Sus scrofa: one gene and its partner. The protein of the gene in region 1 binds, or shares a complex with, the protein of each later gene. Links are inferred from orthologs where the notes say so. Each region holds a gene or a part of one and is shown on either strand. Other genes may lie near its edges.

Region 1 (6,858 bases):
TGTAAGAGCTATAAGCACAAAGTGTTCATGCCTAATTTTAAGTTACAAACATTAAAGTAACATAATAACCTAGGTGACCTCTTAAGGGTTGGTGAGACTCTTTACCCTTAAAACACATACTCCAAGAAACGCTGGTCTCGGGATGCTCAGAGGCTAACTTGCTGTCCAGCTCTAAGAATGATGGCGCTGGGTGGGCGCTGGGGCAGGTGTGCGTGAGGTGTCCTCCTGTTCCTCACAGCGCTGTCAGCGTCAGTCTGTGCACCTTGACCCTCTTCCCCTGCGTTTCCCCATAATACCCAGGACAACACTTCCCAGGCGGGGTGGATGGTCACTGATTCAATGACCTTAAGCTGGAATTTTCCAATCACAAGACTTGTGGAAGAGAAAGGCAAGGCACATGACAAAGAGCGGGCCAGCTGGTCTGTGGCAGGAGGGGGACACAACCAGGGGCCAGCACAGGGGACTGAGTCATGCATACCACGGGCCCCGCCACCTCTGGGGCGGGGGCTGCTCTCTCCCAGCATGATACATCCCAACCCTCCTTTTTGACACTGAAAATTCTATCGAATGTGCCCAGGGGACATTTCTGGGGCCCACCAGACACTCTTAGGTGTGCAACTCACTCACCGGCATCTCATTCAATTTCCAAACAGCCCTATGAGGGAATTTCCATTATAGAAATGAAGAAACAGGAGTTCTCATCATGGCCTGGTGGAAACGAATCCAACTAGGAACCACGAGGTTACGGGTTCAATCCCTGGCCTCGCTCAGTGGGTTAAGGATCTGGCGTTGCCCTGAGCTGTGGTATAGGTCGCAGATGCGGCGTGGATCTGGCGTTGCTATGGCTCTGGCATAGGCCGGCAGCTGTAGCTCCGATTAGACCCCTAGCCTGGAAACCTCCATAGGCCTCAGGTGTGGCCCTAAAAAGACAATAAATAAATAAATAAAAAATAAAATAAAATAAAATGAAAATGAAAAAACAGACGCTCAAAAAGAGTTGGCAATCTGTGGGACATTCCTGGGCTTATAATTGATGAAATACGGCTTGAAACTAGATCTGTCCAAGGCCAGTTCATGACACCCAACCTGGTGTGATTCCCACACACGGTGGGAGCAAGGGCGGGGACCAGCAGGAGTGGAAGGAGGGTCCTGACACAGCTGATGGGTCAGGGGTCCTGCTGAAGGAAATGCTTAATACACGGTTACCATTTTTACCTATTAGATGAGCAAATATCCCAAAGTTTGATCAATACCTTCTGTTGACAAGGCTGAGAGGACATAATAAGCTTCTGATGGGTGTGAATAAGCATGTCTGTGAAAACCACAAGTTAATTTATCCCTTGGCTCAGCAGTTTTGCTTCTGGGAATTTACTGAACGGAGATGCCTTGAGTTGAACTAAAAGACCACATATACAGGTTACTCACAGAAACAGTGAATTCTAATGTCCATTAAATTCAGAGCTGATTCAATAAACTAAAGAAAAAAAAAAAAAAAGGAGGAAGATCTAACATGAAAAGATCTCCTCCCAAAGTGCAGAATAATGCATTTATAACTCATACCATCTTTTGTGGAAAGAGATGGGGGAATAAGAAATAAGAAAGAAAAAATTGAAATCTGTATATTCGTATTTGTTATAGAGGCATTTAAATTTGTACAATGCAAGAAATTAATAATTATGGTTATAGGGGTGGGAAAGACTTTTTAACTATATATATTTTTAGGTCATTTAACGATAAAAATAAATTACCTATTCAAAGGTGAATGTTAGGCCTGAAGGAAGGCTCTGCACAGGCCCCCTTCTCTAGTCACCTCCGTCCTCCACAGGCTTGCCTGTCCCCATGTGTCTGCTACCCCCTCAGGCATCATTCAGGTTTTATGTCCCCCAGAAGGTCTCCTGCGAGGTCCCAGAAGATTGCCCTTATGCATGTGCGTCACTGTACTTTTTGGAAGTTGTACACAGAGCTCTGAACAATTCGTATCTTTTTCTCTAGATGAAGACCATAATACTTTACACTGACTCTCGGAGAGATTAAATAACTTGTCCAAGGTCACCGGGTCAGAGCCGGGGATGGGACCAGCTCTGAGCCCTGTTTCCTTATTTTTTTTTTTTTAATTAATATATATATATATATTTTTTGTCTTTTTGCCTTTTTCTAGGGCCGCTCCCACAGCATATGGAGGTTCCCAGGCTAGGGGTCCAATCAGAGCTGTAGCCGTCGGGCTACGCCAGAGCCACAGCAACGGGGGATCCGAGCCACGTCCTCGACCTACACCACAGCTCACGGCAACGCTGGATCCTTCCTTAACCCACTGAGCAAGGGCAGGGATCAAATCCGCAACCTCATGGTTCCTAGTTGGATTCATTAACCACTGCACCACGACGGGAACTCCTCTGAGCCCATCTAAATGCATTCTCCTCACTGCCCCCAGTTTGCCTCCACATACAGCTCCCAGCAATTCCAGCCTCCCCGAAGGAATGTCCCTGGCAGCTTGTCTTTATGCCCTAACAGGAATTCAGGGCAGTGACAGATCATCGCATGCCCCAGGAAGGGAGGGAGGGCAGGAGGAAGAGAAGAAGGAAGCTCGGGAGGGCGGGGGCAGGGCACTCACTCTTGCAGAGACGGGTCTGAGTCGTCAGCATTGGCCGTCCCTGGGTCTGAGTCGAAGGACATGGGCTCCTCGGAGCGGTCTGGACTCTTGGAGCCGTTCTCTTGGAGGAGGCAGCTGTCAGAGTTGAGGCTGCAAGAGAGCTGGGAAGAACTGGCCGTGTCCAGGCTGAGGGAGGAGGCGGTGAGCTTCCTGTTCCGTCGGATCTTATGGCCCGAGTGCTGGACCTCGATGTCCTCTGAGCCCGAGGAGTGGGAGATGGAATCCAGAGACTCCTTCCGCTGCAGTTCTGCACCCGAGGTCGTGAGGGCGTCGAGCTCTGAGAGCGGGCAGAGCCCAGACAGGGCCAGAGGGGTGAGCGTCCACTCGTTTAGGATGGCGGACTTGTAGGAGAGCTCGAAGGACAGAGATGTCAGTCCCTGCAGGAAGCTGAGGAGGAACTCGCCCTCCTCGGCGTCGCGGAGCAGGGCCGTGGGCTGATAGTACTCGCACAGCCGGGCCTGCTCCTGCAGGAGCAGTTTCAGGTAGCACTCCATCAGGCCGTCGTTGAGGGCCAGCCGCAGCCAGGCCCGGCAGCGGCCCACGTCCGTGCTGACAAAGATCAGGTGCTCCAACTCTGAGATGATGTGTCTGTGAAGGCACAGAACAGGTCTGTTTCAAGAAACGTCTTCAGGAGTTCCCATCATGGCTCAGCGGTAATGAACCCGACTAGTAACCATGAGGATGTGGGTTCGATCCCTGGCCTTGCTCAGTGGGTTAAGGATCCAGTGCTGCGGTAAGCTGCAGTATAGACTGCAGACACAGCTCAGATCCCACATTGGTGCAGGCTGGCAGCTATAGCTCCGATTCGACCCCTAGCCTGGGAACCTCCATATGCCGCGGGTGCGACCCTAAAAGAAAAAGAAAAAAAAAAAAAAAACCCACCTGCAAAGCACTGAGATGCCACTGTATCCACTAGACAGCAAGAGCCAACAACGACTACAAATGCATAAAGGCACAAAAAATTCTCGGATAACAGCAAGGTCTAAGGGGAATTTTGAAATATTAAGCTATAACCCCTAACTTTTAGGGCTGGGGTCATGATGGATAAATGCCGTTTTCATAGCACCTACCCCTTGGGCCCCTGACATCAGCTGCTCAACCAGGACATGTCTGCTGAGTGCCAAAGGGCAAGGTCCTTGGAGCTGTGAAGACACAGGGTAAAGACATGGCCCCTACGCTCAGTCCAGGTAACCGCCTTTCACGGGTATACTGAGGTGAGCCCTGCTGTTTGTACAGCTGGGCTGGGCCATTATTCCTGGGTTGAAGTAAGACAAATGCCATAGAAAGGGTAGTACCCCAGCTGGGCCTTGAGGCAAAGATGGAAGCAGAGGGGTTTCCTGGTGGCTCAGAGAGTTAAGGATCTGGTTTGGTCACTTGTGCGGCGAGAGTTTGACCTCTGGCCTGAGAATTTCTGCATGCCTTGGGTGTGGGAAAGGAAGGAAGGAAGGAAGGAAGGAAGGAAGGAAGAAGGGAAGGAAGGAAAGACAGAAAGAACCTTTAAGGCACAAGGGACTGACAGAGAAAAAGGCATAAAGAGTAGTCGAGCAATTGGACTGTAACAGGAGTGGGGAGCGCTCTAGTTACAGCACAAGGAGCGGGCGATTTGGTTGCAAAGCCAAGTAATGTAGGGTCTTGAGTATCAAACAGGGGAAGCAAAGGGGGGCAATGCCCTCACACCTGGCTATGCAACAGAATCACCCCAGGAACCAGGACAGGATACAGGTGCTGGGGCCCCAATCAAGTGAATCAGACTCCAGACTGGCACTTGGAGCCTGTGGACTACAGGTTTCTGCTCAGGAAAGCAACCTGTCCCCAGCTAGGCAGACTTCAGGGTGGGCTGCTCTGGATAAGATCCCACCCTGTGTGTACTGAACTCGGCTCCTGAATGCCTCAGCCTAAATGCCCCTCCTCTGGCTGCCACTGTCCTCTGTGAACGTCTCCTCCTCCACGGGGGTGGGACCACACTCTGCATCCTCAGTGACTGAGCTCCGGTTGGCAGGAGCTCAGTAAATGTTGGCTGACTGACCAAAGGAAGGACAGAAGGAGACAAAGGGGACAATCAGAAAGGCACTATCACCCAGGAGTGAGGTAAGAACTTGAGATAGGGCAGTAGGCACAGAAAGGAAGATTAGAGACTGACAAGGCACCTTCGGGCAGAAGGTGGCATTTAATAGCTATTGGAGGCACAGTGCCAGCCGCCTGCTCCCGAGCCCCAGTGGTTCAGGGTCAGCAAGACAAGTGTCTCAGGGTGCACATCGAGAGGCTCTACCTGGATGCCACTCTTCTTAAAACAACAACAGGAGTTCCTGTTGTGGCTCGGTGGGTTAAGAACCCGACTAGTATCTATGAGGATGTGAGTTCAATCCCTAGCCTCATTCAGTGGGTCAGGGATCTGGCGTTGCCATGAGCTGTGGTGTAGGTCTCAGATGTGTCTTAGATCCCACGTTGCTGTGGCTGTGGTGTAGGCTGGCAGCTGCAGCTCCAGTTTGACCCCTAGCCTGGGAACTTCCACATGCTGTGGCCCTAAAAAGCAACAACAACAAAAACAATACCTTGTTATGAGTATGATACTTTAGCACATAGGTGTGCAAACATTCTAAGGCACAGAAAAATTCTGAAAAGGGCCAGACAGTAAAGATTTTCGGCCAGCATGTGGTTAAAAGGTGGCTCCTGCTCTGACCCAGGGGCTCAGCGCTGCCCCGGACCATTGCCTGAGGGCCTCACTGAGGCCTGGTCTAACAATGACTTCGCCTTGCCCCTCTCTACTCCAGGCACAGGGCTCTCCGAGACTTTCCTACGCAGGGAAAAGCCCAGTGTCCCACACTCTGAAGCTCCTCCCCTGATGCGAACCCCCTCACCCAGCAGCTCTCACTTGTGGGTGATGGCTTTCAGGAGGGGCCAGAAGACAGGCTGAGGCAGAGGCTTCTGGTGGGCACTTTTCTTCCTCTTGCCTCCAGCCTCGGCTCGGATGTGCTTGGCGTGCAGGCCATGGATGAAGACGGCCTCCAGGGCGCTGCACATGCTGTTGGCATCTCCGTCTTCGCTAGTGACCACCGTGTCCGAGGACACGTACTGCTTCTGCAACGCCTTCACGGAGCCCACTAGCTTCTTCTTGATGACCTGGGCAGCGGCGGACACAACACAGGCCTTTAGTACATCCCCCATGGCAACCCCTGCAATGTAACTCTGCCTAATGCCAAATACACAGGCCCACGTGCATGCACAAATAGATCTATGCATCTATATAGCAAAACTATACACAGGCTAACAATAGAAAATAAAGAGAAAGGAGAGAGAAGAAAAGAAAATCACACACATATAGCACACACATGGATACTGCTGTCATTTTTTTTTTTTGCACAGATATTTGTGGTTGGAGCTCCCATCGTGGCTCAGTGGTTAACAAACCTGACTAGTATCCATGAAGACACGGGTTCGGTCCCTGGCCTTGCTCAGTGGGTTAAGGATCCAGTGTTGCTGTGAGTTGTGGTTTGGATCAGGCGTTGCTATGGCTGTGGCTGTGGCTGGCAGCTACAGCTCTGATTCGACCCCTAGCCTGGGAACCTCCATATGCTGCAGGTATGGCCCTAAAAAGACAGAAGATATATATATATATATATGGTGGTTTATTTGTTTTGGCCTCACCTGGGTTATTCAGAAGTTCTCTGGCCAGAGATTAAACCTGAGGCACAGCAGTGACAATACTGGATCCTTAACCTGCTGAGCCATCAGGGAGCTCCTTGTTTGTTTTTTAAACCAAATTTCGGTGAGCTGATAGACATATAAATCTGGTGTTTACATACCGGCTCCAGGAGTTCCCTTAGGATGCAGTGGGTTAAGGATCTGGCTTTGTCACTGCTGTGGTACCGGTTTGATCCCTGGCCTGGGAACTTCCACATGCCATGGGTGTGGCCAAAAAGAAAAAAAAAACCCAGAACAATAAATACTGGCTCTATCATAGTTAGCGCCATGGGAGCTTGGGTGTAAGCTCACGTAGGACGGGGTGTTTCTTTCTACTTTATTCACGTGGCCGACATTCCACAGAGAGTCAGTAAGTTAAGAGGTAAAAAGTGCTTCTTTAGAATAAGAAAAACACTAAGAAATAGGAGCATGGTCTACATGAAGAAAGAGCCTGGACTTGGCAGTCAGAGCCCAGGTTTAGTCTCAGCTCTGTCGGTCACCAGCTAGGTGACTTTAGATATTTCACT
Region 2 (7,385 bases), on another chromosome or scaffold:
AGTGCGGCCCTAAAAAAACAAAAATAAATAAATAAATGTGGAGCTTTCTTAGGAGGCCATGGAGCCAGTGGCCAAGTGTTTTTAGGAATCCATTATCATAAATGCAAAAGGTGCAGAAAGCAAGAATTTGCCTAGGGTCTTAGAAAAATGAGCGTGAGCCTCCCTCTGTAGCTGATCCCACTGAGCCCCACCTTCCCAACCTGGTTTCCTAATTGTTTTCCAGACTGGCTTATTTTTTTTTCCTTTCCACTTTCCTTGTCTACAGGATGCTTTGATGTCGAAACAGCTTTTTTTTTTTTTTTCAGAAGACCCAAACACCTGCAATTAACTCATGGAAGGAGACTGAGGATTGACAGTGGATTTGGGGGCTGTGAGGCATGACCTTAAATCATTTGCCCTGACATCCAGAGGACCTGGAGGCAGCCTGCTCACCTTTATTCCAGGATGCCATCTTTAGATGTCTACAGAGACCACCTGTGGAGTTCCCATCGTGGTGCAGTGGCAGCGAATCCAAGCAGGAACCATGAGGTTGCAGATTCGATCCCTAGCCTGGCTCAGTGGGTCAAGGATCTGGCATTGCCGTGAGCTGTGGGGTAGGTTGGAGATATGGCTTGAATCCTGTGTTGCTGTTGCTGTGGTGTAGGCCAGCAGCTGTAGCTCTGATTCGACCCCTAGTGTCTGGGAACTTCCATATGCCTTGGATGCAGCCCTAAAAAAAATGTAAAGTGACCCCCTGTGATGGTGTTTAGGGAATAGGGAAGAAAGAGTTTTCACAAGGGTGGAGGGTACAGTCTTCATTTTGATCTGAACTCTGAAGGTCTCCACACTGAGGGAACAGAGAGTCTGGCCATTTAAGTAGGGCTGGGATGAAGAGACTGCTGGAGGAATGTTTCAGAAAATATTTCCCTAAGACCACAAGATCTCCTACCCCCAAATTTTTAATATAAAACTCAAAACCACATTACAAGCATAGTTTTGCTGTGGCTCAAATCCCCCCAGCTGTGCATGTTATTTTGTGCTCTGAGCTTCAGTTCTCTTTTTCCGAAGAAATAATTGAGAAAAAAATGTAGGTCGTGATTAGCACAGTGTCAAATACAATAAATGTGCTTCCTCCCTATTCCAGTGAAGGATAATATTGATGATGAAGACATTTCTGATGTCAATAAGCCAAGTCTGTTGTCCAGACTGACCTTGTCTTTTTCATAGACTCTGGGTTACCCCTCTGATCCTCAGGCTCTTCATCAACAGAACGGTGAAAACAATAACTTTCACTTATGGTTGTTTTTTTTCTTTTTTGTCTTTTGTCTTTTTAGGGCCGTACCCTCAGCATATGGAGGTTCCCAGGCTAGGGGTCTAATTGGAGCCGTAGCCGCCGGCCTATGCCAGAGCCATAGCCACACCAGATCCCAGCCTATTTCTGCAACCATACCACAGCTCATGGCAACGCCACATCCTTAACCCACTGAGCAACCTCATGGTTCTTAGTTGGATTCGTTAACCACTGCTCCACGACGGGACCTCCTGCTTATGTTTTTTAAATGATTTTTATTTTTTCCCATTATAGCTGGTTTACAGTGTTCTGCCAATTTTCTACTGTATAGCAAGGTGACCCAGTCACACATACATATATACATTCTTTTTCTCATATTATCCTACATCCTGCTTCATCACAAGTAACTAGATATAATTCCCAGTGCTCTACAGCAGGATCTCATTGTTTATCCATTCCAAAGGCAATGGTTTGCATCTATTAACCCAATTCCCAGTCCATCCCACTCCCTCCCCCTCCGCCTTGGAACTTTTGCTTACTGAGTTGTATGTGCGAGCCATTATTCTAGATCTGTTTACATATGTTAACTAATTCATTTGATGCTCCCAGTTTCACAAGGTATGCGTTATTTTTGCTTTTATATACAAGGTAACAGAGAGAGGTATCAATTGGCACAATGTCACAAGGCTAGTAGGTGGTAGATTCAGAGTCCAGCTCCATGTGGTTTAAGTCCCAGAGCACACTTTTTGGATAACATTAAAATGTGAAATTGTGGAGTTCCCATTGTGGCTCAGTGGGTACATGATGAACATTGTGGTACATCAGTATCCACGAGGTTGGGGGTTCGATCCTTGGCCTTGTTCAGTGGGTTAAGGATCTCGTGTAGCCATGAACTGTGCTGTCAGTTGCAGACATGGCTCAGATCCTGCATTGCTGTGGCTGTGAGGTTGGTTGGCAGCTGCAGCTCCAATTCGACCCCTAGCCTGGGCACTTCCGTATGCTGTAGGCATGGCCCTAAAAAGAGGAAAAAAAGTAAAATCAATAAAGAACATAGCAGTTGCTTGGAATATAATCATTGTGGTGGGAAAATGAGTGCTAATGATAGAGACCCCTCTCTAGGTAGGATCATGTGATTCATTTTCCTCTGTGGAAGGTGGGTGAACCCTCAAAGGTGCCACTTTAAGTCTGAGAAAGCCAAGTGTAAGTGTATCTTTTCCACCTGTTTTCCCATCTGAGCTGGTGGAAATGAAGGCCTTTGAGGTGACAGAACCTGCAGGTGTAAAGCAGAGAATGCCCTTAAATTTCTCCTGGAACAGAGCCAAACAGGGAGCCTCCTACATGTACTGGACTGCGATGTGGATGAAAGTCAAACTCTTTATGTGTAGCTGTTACATTTAAGGGTATATTTCTTTTTTTTTTTTTTTTTTTTTTGTCTTTTTTGCTATTTCTTGGGCCGCTCCCACAGCATATGGAGGTTCCCAGGCTAGGGGTCGAATCGGAGCTGTAGCCGCCGGCCTACGCCAGAGCCACAGCCGCGTCTGCAACCTACACCACAGCTCACGGCAACGCCGGATCATTAACCCACTGAGCAAGGGCAGGGACCGAACCTGCAACCTCATGGTTCCTAGTCAGATTCATTAACCACTGCGCCACGACAGGAACTCCAAGGGTGTATTTCTTATTGCAGCATAGCATAGCCTGTCCTCACTACAGAACAATTAAATGGTAGTAATGATTACTTTTTTTTTTCAAAATATAAATAGCCACGAAAGGAAAATATCACAAAGTTAATATGAAATATGTAGGATTCTTTCTTCTTGAGCAATAAAAAAGAAATTTTGAGGAAGTGCCCCTTGTGGCTCAGCAAGTTAAGAACCCAACTAGTATCCATGAGGAGTTGGGTTCGATCCTCAGCCTTGCTCAATGGGTTAAGGATCCGGCGTTGCCATGAGCTGTGGTGTAGGTCGCAGACATGGCTCGGATCTGGCATTGCTGTGGCTGTGGCGTAGGCCAGGGGCTGTAGATCCGATTCGCACCCTGCTTAGGAACCTCCGTATGCTGCAGGTACAGCCCTAGAAAGCAAAATACATAAATATATGTATATCTCGAAGCCCAGAGCTCAAGAAATTGGTCACATGATAATGGGTAGAGACAGGAAGGAAGGAGAGGAGGTCAAAAAAGGGAAGAGGAAGGGGTCCCAGGGCCATCATGACCTGTGGAAAGTTGTGAGGCCCCCACTGCATTCTAGCACCTCAGGTCAGCGCCCCAACCTTCTCCACTGAGCCTCAGCATCAAAGATGGACCTCATCCATGGAGGTGTGGCCCTAGGAGCTAAAGGTCTTCTAAGAAACCAATCTAACTACTGAGGCCAAGTTCATGCTCCTCCCTGCAGACTCAAAGCCTCAGGGTGAACTCGGCAACTATTGTCCTAGCTTCGTAGGCAGGGGTAAAGGCAAGTTTTTTTTTTTAATAGGGAAGATTTTTCACTAGTTGTGTAAAAAACAGAGTAAACTACTGCTTTTCTTTCTGTCCCTCAGCAAACTGGAGAATGTTTGGTCACCTTCCCCTGTGTCATCATCACTACGCTGAAGACTTCTCAGTGTCCTGCATAGAAGGGAGCCAGGGATGACCAGTAAAGGTCATGGTACCTCCAGAGACAATCGAGCAGAAGCAAATGGTCCTTTTTATTCTCAGGACGTGATGGATCTGAATAACACGGAGGGACCGCCGAGCTCCTGGGTGTGAGGTAAGGAGGTGCTTGGCATCAAGTGGGAAACGGGGTCACTAAAACCGTCATTAAGGCGTTCCCCTCATGGCTCAGTGGAAGCGAATCGGACTAGCATGCATGAGGATGCAGGTTCCATCCCTGGCCTCCCTCAGTGGGTTAAGGATCTGGCGTTGCCGAGAGCTGTGGTGTAGGTCACAGACACTGCTCGGATCTGGCATTGCTGTGAGCTGTGGTGTAGGCTGGCAGCTGTAGCTCCGATTTGACCCCTAGCATCTGGGAACCTCTATATGCCGTGGGTTCGGCCCTAAAAAGACAATAAAGAAATACAGAAATATCCTGAGTTTGATAAAAAGTGTTCTACCCACATTCCTAGACCTGTAAAAAATGACCAAAATATGCTGGAAAGCTGCAGAGTATAACACTACTTTGATACATGCCTAGATTTTTTTTTTTTTTTTGTCCTTTTTAGGGCTGCATCTTTGGCATATGGAGGTTCCCAGGTTAGGGGTCTAATTGGAGCTATAGCTGCCAGCCTACACCACAGCCACAGCAACACCAGATCCGAGCAGCATCTGCGACCTACACCACAGCTCACGGCAACGCCAGATCCTTAACCCACTGAGGGAGGCCAGGGATAGAACCCGCAACCTTATGGTTTCTAGTCGGATTTGTTTCTGCTGCACCACAACTGGAACTCCCACACCTAGATTTTAACCCTAATTTTACCTCTTTATCTGGACAAGTTACTCAGCCTTTCTGGAATATTCTTTCTTTCTCTTGCTTTTTAGGGCTGCACCTGAGGTTCCCAGGCTGGGGGTTGAATTGGAGTTGTAGCTGCCAGCCTACACCACAGCCACAGCAACATGAGATCTGAGCCTTGTCTGCCACCTACACCACAGCTCACGACAACTCAGGATCCTTAACCCGCTGAGCGGGGCCAGGGGTTGAATCTGTGTCCTCATGGATGTTAGTTCGGGTTTGTTACCACTGAGCCACAACGGAAACTCCCTACATTGTAAATCTCAATTTCTTTAGCAAAGACAACATTTTAAACGGTAGTGAGCAAAGTGACTTTCTCTAACCAGCAAGCAGGTGGCTGTTTCATTTCCATTCTGAAAAATGACCCCCTCCTGCCCAGGAGGGGAGGGCTGGAGAAGGCTGATGTCACACAGTCCCACATAAAAGCGTCCTTTGGGCTCCCGCAGGCAGTTTGGAAACAGCTGGAGGAATGAGTTAGGTACTCTTTTTTTTTTTCTTTTTTTTCAATTCAGACACAGACACAGCTGTTGAGCAAAATGCAGACTCCCCAGAAAAGCCCAAGCCTCAGACCCTTCAAGCAGAGGAAGAGCTTAGGTAAAGTTCTCAGAGTATTTGTCTGGGTTTGGGCCCTCGAGACAGGGAAAGACGAGGACACGGACTTCTGCTCCAGGCTGATATGTTCATTTCATCTTACGTGTTCACAGCAACCAGAAGAGAGGAAGTGGCTGGAATCCGGATGAAGTTCCCTGGCAAGATCCCGGTAAGACTCCACTGTGGCTCCTCAGCCGGGCCTGTGATGTCCCCTTCTTTGAGAAAACAAAACCCGGAGCTGCTGTTGTGGCTCAGCAATCACGAGCCCAGCTGGTAACCATGAGGATGTGGGTTCGACCCCTGGCCTCACTCAGTGGCCCAGGGATGCCGCATTGCCGTGAGCTGTGGTGTAGGTTGTAGACGAGTCTTGGATCCCATGTGGCTATGGCTGTGGTGTAGGCCAGCAGCTGCAGCTCCGACTGGACCCCTAGCCTGGGAACTTCCATATGCTTCAAGTGCAGCCCTAAAAATCAAAAGAAAAAAAAGACAAGACCAAACCCAGGCAGTGACCCCCTTCTCTCTATTCCAAGTTTCTAAGACACGGAGACTGAGGCACATTCTTGGGCATTTGCTTCGGGAGAGATTCAGGTTGAAACTCTTGACAGGTGATAGTGGAGCGCTACCCCAGGGAGAAATTCCTGCCCCTGCTGGACAAGACCAAGTTCCTGGTCCCCCAGGAGCTGACCATGACCCAGTTCCTCAGCATCATCCGGTAGGTAACAAAGTGCATGCAGGGGCCGGGGGTGGAGGTGCGCCCTGTGGCCCTGGGCTTCTTGGAACAACGGGAGATGGGCTACAGCAGAGAGACAGGGAAGGATGTGGGTTTCACCTTTTCTCTTCAACTCTGCCTTTTAAAAGGATGATGTTGAGTTCCCGTTGTGGCTCAGAGGGTTAAGAACCTGACTAGTGTCCATGAGGTTGCAGGTTTGAACCCTGGCCTCATTCAGTGGGTTAAGGGTCTGGCGTTGCTATGGCTGTGGCGTAGGCCAGCAGCTGCAGCTCTGATTTGACACCTAGCCTGGGAACTTCCATGTGTCGCAGGTGCAGCCTTAAAAAGAAAAATAAAAAGGGATGATTTCATGAGTAAGCAGTCTTAAAAAGAAGGAAAGTACTTTGCTACAACCTTGTAAGAAGCGAGAACCCCCAATGTTGATACACTGGCTATTTTTTCTTTTGTTTCAACATTTTGCTGGTACTTTGTTTTCGTTTGTATCTTAAATTTCTCCAAGAATTTTTCAAAGGAATCTTTGGAACCTGATCCAAAGGCCTCTGTTTTCAGCTATTTTAAAAGCCCAATGACAGCTTTGTACCTCTAAATGGTTCCCCCTTTGTGGCAGGGAGGGAACTGGGGGGAGGAGTGTGCTGTCCACCTGCTGGAATCACTGAGCGGGAGAACCAGCCCCTCCCCACATCCCGCTTCCCCTGTTCCAAACGAGGGGAGGCCAAGTAAAGGAAACGCTGCTGACTTAAAAGATGCAGCGGAAACAAATCCGACTAGCAACCATGAGGATGCAGGTTCGATCCCTGGCCTCACTCAGTGGCTTAAGGATCTGGCATTGCCATGAACTGCAGTGTAGGTCGCAGACGCGGCTCAGATCCCACGTTGCTGTGGCTGTGGTGTAGGCTGGCAGCTGTAACTCTGATTCAACCCCTAGCCTGGGACCTTCCATATACTGTGGGTGTGGCCCTAAAAAACAAAAAAGAAAATAAAAATAAAGCTTAAGGGATTGAAGTTGTCACCTGCTATCTGAACTCTAAAAAAAAAAAAAAAAAAAAAAAAAAAAAAAAGAAACTAAAAAATAACTTACTTAGGGCTCCACAAATATGGCTTAGGTGGTGAGTCTCCCTGTGCTGGAAACAACCTCTCAAATTTTTTGGCTGATGCAGACAGTTTTTTGAGAGCATTTATTGTGATTTTTAAAATGAGCTTTGGGGGAGTGTCTGTCGTGGCTCAGTGGTTAACAAATCCAACTAGGAACCTTGACGTTTTGGGTTCGATCCCTGGCCTTGCTCAGCAGGTTAAGGATCCGGTGTTGC

The links.
Region 2: the proteins of PLEKHM1 (region 1) and MAP1LC3C are in contact, whole or in part, in a crystal structure (PDB 5DPW), measured with the Homo sapiens proteins. The link is inferred for Sus scrofa from reciprocal best matches to the Homo sapiens genes PLEKHM1 and MAP1LC3C. Residues at the interface, in NP_055613.1 of Homo sapiens: Glu632, Asp633, Glu634, Trp635, Val636, Asn637, Val638, Gln639, Tyr640; in NP_001004343.1 of Homo sapiens: Phe13, Arg16, Lys17, Glu25, Ile29, Phe33, Lys36, Pro38, Asp54, Lys55, Thr56, Lys57, Phe58, Leu59, Val60, Pro61, Glu63, Leu64, Ile72, Arg76, Phe114.

What each region holds. Positions count from the first base shown.
Region 1 is NC_010454.4:17,992,324-17,999,181, reverse strand, and holds part of PLEKHM1 (pleckstrin homology domain-containing family M member 1), read right to left. Parts: intron 5,771-6,858; coding exon 5,523-5,770; intron 3,239-5,522; coding exon 2,612-3,238; intron 1-2,611. UniProt on the Homo sapiens protein: Acts as a multivalent adapter protein that regulates Rab7-dependent and HOPS complex-dependent fusion events in the endolysosomal system and couples autophagic and the endocytic trafficking pathways.
Region 2 is NC_010452.4:15,367,674-15,375,058, forward strand, and holds the start of MAP1LC3C (microtubule-associated proteins 1A/1B light chain 3C), read left to right. Parts: upstream 1-3,508; 5' UTR 3,509-4,016; intron 4,017-4,953; exon of another isoform or gene 4,954-5,269; 5' UTR 5,270-5,293; coding exon 5,294-5,351; intron 5,352-5,461; coding exon 5,462-5,517; intron 5,518-5,953; coding exon 5,954-6,060; intron 6,061-7,385.